Nothobranchius furzeri: one gene and its partner. The protein of the gene in region 1 purifies or fractionates together with the protein of each later gene. This does not show direct contact. Links are inferred from orthologs where the notes say so. Each region holds a gene or a part of one and is shown in the gene's direction. Other genes may lie near its edges.

Region 1 (3,822 bases):
CACTATTTCATGCACTCTCACATTCACACACTGCCAGTGATGGTAAGCTTCTACGTAGCCACAGCCGCCGAGGCGGTCTGACAGAAGCGAGGCTGCCATTTGGTGTCGTTGACCCCTCTGACCACCACCAACATGGGCAAGTTGGGTGAAGTGTCTTGCCCAAGGACACAACAGCAAAATACCCCTGGTGGGAGCTGGAATCTAACCCATGGCCCTCCGATCATGAGGCACACCGCTCTACCTCCTGAGCTACTGCTGCCGCCTCTTTGTGACTCTTTGACGGTTCAGCAACTTTCTTTAGCTTTTTTTTATTGTTTGGAATTGAATTTGATATTAAACTTCCATCTCTAGTGCTCATAACTTTCTTAATTTTTGTAGTTTGTTCTACATGTCGAGGGTAAATGTCAGCATGTTACATTAGTACAACAAAGTCTTTAATATTCTAGAGTGGTAAAGTGATTAAGCTAAACTGACTTCTTGTCCAGAACATCACAAGTAACTTGACTGACATCGGGAATCCATTCTGGGTTTCTGAATACTGGATGGTTGGTGGATGTGTTTTTTTCTGGACTTTTAGGATAAGTTTGTTGAATAGTTTTGTTTGAAAGTGTTTACTTTTGGCATATCAAACATTCATGTCTGTGAGCTGATAAAATAATATGTAGAAGTTAAATCATGTAAAAAAAAACGCACAATCATGAGGACCCATCTAGTTCTTATTTCAGTTAACTGGTTAAACAACATTTCAAAATGATTTCAGTCCTAAAGTTTTAAATGTAATTTCCAACCATTTCAATATTTTCTTTGTTGATTAATGTTGCTTGTTTTGATTTGAGGCCATTAGGGTCTGGATCGATTCGGTCAGAATGATCCTCCTGGCCCCCGGGTCATGTTTCTATGATTGTACCAAACTAAATCAGTCCGCTGGAACACTGTATCCTTAAAAAACGTTTTGCTTTGAGAAACTTTTCAATGCTGTTGTGTTGCTTCATGTAAAATACTTTTACAGAATTAATACATTCACAAGGTGGTTCTCATTCAGCATGTTTTTGTGTTTCTATTTATGCTGAAGGGTTGGTTTATGTTGAGCCTTTCCTTCGTTTGATGGCTCCTCCGATTCTCTCCTCATGCGGGACTTTGCATCTTTTTTGATTGGATGATGTGTAACTCAAGATTCTTTATCTGATTTGATGCCACCAAGGGGGTATCTGGTTTCAGCCAATTGTAGCCACCTCGGGGGGGTTAGGGGGGCAGGCGGATGTGTTGGCATGGATACGAGGGGAGAGCAAATGAAGTTAGTCGTTGATTAGATTATATTGAAGTGCTGATGGGAAGGAGGACAAGAACACACAGGACAGAGGCAGAGTTAGAGAAAATCGAAAAGAAAAAAGACGAGAGCTTGTTGAAAATGAGAGCGAAATCATATTTTACCGAGTGCTAGAAATGACCTCACATTGAATCCGTGTGCAAAAGAGAGTGGAAGAGTTTTGTTGTTGTGTCATCATCTGATATTTTGTGTGTGTGTGTGTGTGTGTGTGTGTGTGTGTGTGTGTGTGTGTGTGTGTGTGTGTGTGTGTGTGTGTGTGTGTGTGTGTGTGTGTGTGTGTGTGTGTGTGTGTGTGTGTGTGTGTGTGTGTGTGTGTGTGTGTGTGTGTGTGTGTGGCTTGTATTACTTTATTGGTGTAACTGAACAGCTGTCATTTGTAAATGGATGCAATTATGTTATTAGCAACTGAGTCTCTTTTTATCTCTCTGTGTCTCTTTTGTCATCAGACTGAGATTGCCAAGAGACTAAACACCATCTGTGCACAAGTCATTCCCTTCCTCTCACAGGAGGTAAGTGTGTGTGTGTGTGTGTGTGTGAGACACACACTGTTTTCTGTCCTGACAAATCTGTGTCTCATGCATGGTTCTGTATGTCTGCCTGCTTTCCAGCATCAGCAGCAGGTGGTTCAAGCTGTGGAGCGAGCCAAACAGGTGACCATGGCAGAGCTTAATGCTGTCATCGGGGTACGTGGACTGCCAGGTCTTCCACCTACGGTGCATATTTTTATCTCATTGTTTTAAATGCTTACACTAATTCTCAATTCTCAGTGTTTGTTTCAGTGCCTCGTGCTTTTCCCTCCTTTGATCTGGTGTGGAATTGGAAGCTGTTATTGTGGTTTTGATGGCTTTTGTTGCTAGATTTGAAAGTTCCCAGTTTGCTAATAGGATTCCAACAATGGTCTAATAGAAAGAATACAATTATATTGTATTTTTTTCAGAAACCTTTAAATGGAGTTTAGCTAATTTCAATATTGGCAGTTGAAAATGGCAAGATCCGTCACTAAAATAGACACAAATAATAAGACTGGAGTAAAAACCTTAAAAATAGAATATTAACACATATGAAAAAAATCCCTGCATAAAAATTGCAGTTAAATAAAATATAAAGTAGCTGCTACAACAAACGAAGGCTGGGTTGATATGTGGCGTTGTCTACAGGGTTTACAAATTTGCATAAGTACTCTGCACAAATACTTACTCTTTTTAACTCCGTATCTTAATGTTTACTCTTTAAGTCAGTCTTCCTCTGCTTGATCTCTTAAAATCTGTAGAAATTTCACTTAAGTTGTTTTGAGACTCTTACAATGCACAATCAAAAAACATTATGACCATTTTCTGTTCTTCAGTCTTGTATAAAGAAACAGGAGATGAAATGAAAGGACATATATCTGTTTATTTTTGTTTAACTGAAGTTTAATGATCTGCCCAGCTAATTGGCTTCAAGCTGTTTAATCATAGAACAGGTATCAAACTAGATACCTGCGCTACACAGCATCAGACTACGGTGGTGATATTTATTCACCACAAGAAAGAGCTTTTAGGAGTGGGAGCTGATCTTTTGGTGGTGATGACTCTTGAGGTGGGATTTGACAATAATATCGACCCTTACAAAAGGGTGTGTGTGTGTGGGTGTGTGTGTGTGGAGGGGTGTGAGTTTAGGTTTAAAAGAAATGTGGGAAAGATGGAGGGGGTATTTGTGGTTTTAGTGGGATCAGAGTGTAGTTGGCTTAGATGTGGGGTGGGCTTGTTAGTTGGTGTGGACTGATGGGGGTCTGTTTTTTTGTGTAATGGGGTGAGAGGTGGATTTGGCAGTTGCTTTTTGGTCTTAATTGCAGGATTTTTGTGTTTGTAATGGGGGGGTCACGTCGTTGCCCTCGCACCCCGCCATCTCCCCTCATCTCCCACGCCAGCCTGTCATTCACCCCGTTTGTGAGTTAAATGAGTGTAATGAAGCATGTTGCCCTGCCTCTACACACACACACACACACACACACACACACACACACACACACACACACACACACACACACACACACACACCATCCAATGACAAAACTGGGCTCCTCTTGTCTGCACCAATGCTTCCCCTCCATTTACTCCCGTCGGGGGTGCTTTTTGTGTAACTTTGTGTACGTAATTGTGCGTTAGTGTGAAGCAGAGCGTGCATTTCTGTTATCCTCAGAAAACAACATGCAGGCAGCAGTAGGTTAGTTGACTGAGAGTGTTTTTGCCTGCCTTGTTTATCTCCACTCTGCACATACATGTTAGTGCACTCAAGTGTGATGTGTGGGTGTGTTTGTGTTTCATTTTTTGGCATGCATGCCAACTGTTAAAATCGTGCATCAGGCAGCTGTGGGGGCTAGAAGACTGTTTAGTTGTTATGCTCTCATTCACTGGGGTGGAGGTAGGGAGTGAAGGATGGATAGAGAGGAAAAAAGAAGGTGGAAGCTCAGGGGGTGGGGTGGGTTAGTCAATTAGGTGAGATAAAAGTCGGTT
Region 2 (3,605 bases), on another chromosome or scaffold:
TCCAGGCGGCAGGCCGGCGAGAGGAGCGCCTTCCCCTGGTCGCCTGCGCGCCACGTGTCCGCGGTCTCTGCACCAGCTGGAGTTGTGTGCGCAACGGAAAACCACGACGCGCTCCGATTTAAAAACATGAAGTCATTTACCTATTAAAGAAGCGCTTTTCCTCATTTGCATACACACACACATCATGCAAGCAAACTTTTAAGGAAGACAAACCCATTTCATTATAGTTGAAAAAAGTTTTTAAAGGTTTAATTATCACCTCGAATACACTATAAACCCCACATGATCCATAAATCTATGGAGGCTATCAGACAGCGGATTTTATAGGCATCCGTGTTTGTGAGTGTTGCACAACCTGAAGAGTGGAGCTGCTGCTCCAATAAACCCTCACGAGGCGATTGTTGACATTATTTCACTCTTTGTGTTCATCTGCTCTTACGTCCATCTAAGAACAATAAAGATAAGGAAAAGAAATTATGACCTGATATCTAAAGCCTTGAACGCTGTGAGGCAGCCACGGGCGGGAATGATGCGGGGGCAGGCTTCGGTGTGAGCTCTGCAGGCTCACAAATATCTCCGCTCTGGCTCACATTCCGATAAGGGAGCCCGATCCAGCTCCCTCAGTGGGCGTGGTTTTCCCAGGCTTTTAAAACAGCAGCTGCTATTTACCTTCCCCTCTAATGTAAACCACCGCCGCCGCCACCACACAGCCTCCCTCGCCCCCATACGCAGCCCGGTGGCCCCCCGGCAGCCCGGCGGCCAAACCTCCAACCATCGCGGGCTCATAAAACATCCTGGCACGTGCTCCACACTTACAACACCGACGGATGATTAAGTGGTAAATGTTGTACCACAGACTTTAAAGATGTAGTGTGGAAAGGAAGTGTGCACTTAAAAAGGGGTTTCTCCTGATTCATCCTCTCATGTCCCCCCGTGCTTTAAACGTCACAATTCTCGTGCCTTAAGTTAAAATAAAACAATTCCCGACACGTGTCCAAGAAGTTGTCAATTATACGTGGAGTAAAAATGAGATTTATTGATGGTGCGCATTGACTTTTCGCAGCTATTTGGTGTCTGGCAGATGGGAAGTCCCCGTGCCTGCTCCTGACAGCGGTGCCCAGTCAGCGGCTCCGCAGCTAATGTGTAAACGCTCCGATGATTGAAGGCTGCAGACAGTTTCCCCGGCTGCGCCCTGAACCCGCCAGCTCCAGCGGCCAAACAACCAATGGGAGGGCGCCGACCACGAGCCGTCCTCCCTCGGGCCGCGTGTCCCTCGCCCTGATTGGTTGAAAGTTACTGTGGGAAAGAAAGTTTGGGAAGTTTCACACGAGCCGCTCGCGTGCGGTGCCAGATATAAATACAAGGCACACGCGGAGAGCCCAACAGAGAGGCTGCATCCGCTCCCGGTAGCAGACGCCGCTGCGCATCGCTCCTTAACGGACCCACACGGTACACATCTCAGGATTCCTTTTGGGACTTTTGAAGATCTCATCATACTTTTTCACACACACGTGGATCATATTTTTGCTGTAGCACTGGGATATTTCTAATCAGCGACGAAGATGCCTGCCGACATGATGGAAAAGTCTTCATCCTCTCCGGTTGCTGCGACCCCGGCAAGCATGAACACTACTCCTGATAAACCCAAGACAGCATCTGAACATAGAAAGGTGCGTATTGGTGTAAAACCTGCCATCAGAGTCGGGATGATCGCAACATCCCTTAGATTATTTATTTTTGGTCGCGCTCTGAGCTTCGCGCCTGGTTCTAACAGTCTGTTGGTTTTACTTCCAGTCATCAAAGCCAATTATGGAAAAGAGAAGAAGAGCCAGAATAAACGAGAGCTTGGGTCAGCTGAAAACTCTGATTCTGGATGCTCTGAAAAAAGATGTAAGTTGTTAGCAGATCTCCGGGCTATCAGTGTCAGACTGAAAGTGAGCGCGTAATATTAACCAGGTGTGTTTTCCGTCCCCTCAGAGCTCCAGACACTCCAAACTGGAGAAGGCGGACATCCTGGAGATGACAGTTAAACATCTCCGGAACCTCCAGAGGGCTCAGATGACCGGTAAGTTTAATTTTACAACCTGATCTCGCATTGCGCGCTTTGAAATGAGCCAGAAAGCCTGGATGTTCTTTCAACACTGACTTATAAAATACCTTTCTGTCTCCCTGCAGCTGCGCTGAACACTGACCCCACCGTTTTGGGAAAATATCGCGCAGGATTCAGTGAATGCATGAACGAAGTCACGCGCTTTCTGTCCACCTGCGAAGGTGTGAACACTGAGGTCAGGACGCGCCTCCTCGGCCACTTGGCCAGTTGCATGACCCAGATCAACGCCATGAACTTTCCCAGCCAGCATCAGCACCAGCATCAGCTCCCATCCAACGCGGGGCCAACACACCCCTCCTTCGGTCAGTCCATGGTGCAGATCCCCAGCTCATCCCCGCAGGTCATGCCCATGAACCCGGGGTCCTGTAAAGGGGGCTCCTCGCCGGCCAGTTTACCTCCAGATGCCACCAAAGTGTACGGCGGCTTTCAGATCGTACCTGCCACTGACGGACAATTCGCTTTCCTAATCCCCAACGCGGCTTTTGCATCAAACGGCCCAATCATCCCGGTTTACGCAAACAACGTCAGCACGCCGGTGCCTGTTCCGGCTGCGGTGTCCCCCGGAGCTCCCTCAGGCAACTCGGACTCGGTGTGGCGGCCGTGGTGAAAGGACCACAATAAAGACTCTGACACTATTAGTTTGATGAACTCTAGAAAAGTTGTTTTTTTCCTGTAAAAATAAAGAGTATGCACTATATGTGTACAGCTAAGACGGAGTAAAGTTCATATTGAAATGGGATTTGTTTTGTTTAAGTCCGCTCACTGCATTTTATATATAAATAGGCTATATTTGAGGTTTTGTTTTCTTTTTTTACTGTGTGGCGCCAAAGAAATGTTTAATGCCCTTACGCTGTTCTTCGTTTTGGAAGACAAAATAAATTTGTTTAAAAAAAACTTGTAAAACAAATTTGTGCTGCTTGTTGGAGTTGGTCTCAGTGCGTCAAATTCATCATCACATTTCCGAATATCTTCATTAAACAAGTAAATGTTTTTGTGCTTAAAGTAAAGGAAACAACAGCTGCTTTACTATAACAACAATGATCTAAATTAGAAGTAATCGTGTGAGGATTATTTGGTTAATTGAGAAGGTTTTAAAATCCACACAGAAGCGCAATGATGCAATAGTCTAAACTGAAATGAAAAACTATTAATGAGCTTCCACAGAAACATTTTTATCTCAGAGTGTTAAACGTTTTCAGAAGTTTTAAGTTTATAAACAAGTGAAAGACGTCCGTGTGGCGTGAGATGATCAGTTTTTTTTGCACTGATTCACCAGACCTTACTTTTACCTTTACAGAGGTGACGCGCGCCATCTAGCAGCAGGAAACCACATTGCAGTCTGATTGATGGTGCAGGATTTACAGCAGGCGTTGCTGCTGTCATCAAGCTTGAGGAAATTTAGCAGATTTTGTCTTTTTTAACTGTAAGAGAGGGGAAATCTGCTTGTATGGTTATTATTTGACGTCACATTCTGGAACTGTTCTCCCTACAGCCT

The links.
Region 2: the proteins of transducin-like enhancer protein 1 (region 1) and her6 purify together in Homo sapiens (affinity purification with western blotting; 4 studies listed by BioGRID and IntAct, with this or other methods). This does not show direct contact. The link is inferred for Nothobranchius furzeri from reciprocal best matches to the Homo sapiens genes TLE1 and HES1.

What each region holds. Positions count from the first base shown.
Region 1 is NC_091757.1:48,842,919-48,846,740, reverse strand, and holds part of transducin-like enhancer protein 1, read left to right. Parts: intron 1-1,773; coding exon 1,774-1,836; intron 1,837-1,935; coding exon 1,936-2,040; intron 2,041-3,822. UniProt on the Homo sapiens protein: Transcriptional corepressor that binds to a number of transcription factors. Inhibits NF-kappa-B-regulated gene expression. Inhibits the transcriptional activation mediated by FOXA2, and by CTNNB1 and TCF family members in Wnt signaling.
Region 2 is NC_091748.1:61,413,193-61,416,797, forward strand, and holds her6 (hairy-related 6), read left to right. Parts: upstream 1-1,403; 5' UTR 1,404-1,562; coding exon 1,563-1,670; intron 1,671-1,794; coding exon 1,795-1,890; intron 1,891-1,977; coding exon 1,978-2,065; intron 2,066-2,175; coding exon 2,176-2,717; 3' UTR 2,718-2,816; downstream 2,817-3,605. UniProt on the Homo sapiens protein: Transcriptional repressor of genes that require a bHLH protein for their transcription. May act as a negative regulator of myogenesis by inhibiting the functions of MYOD1 and ASH1.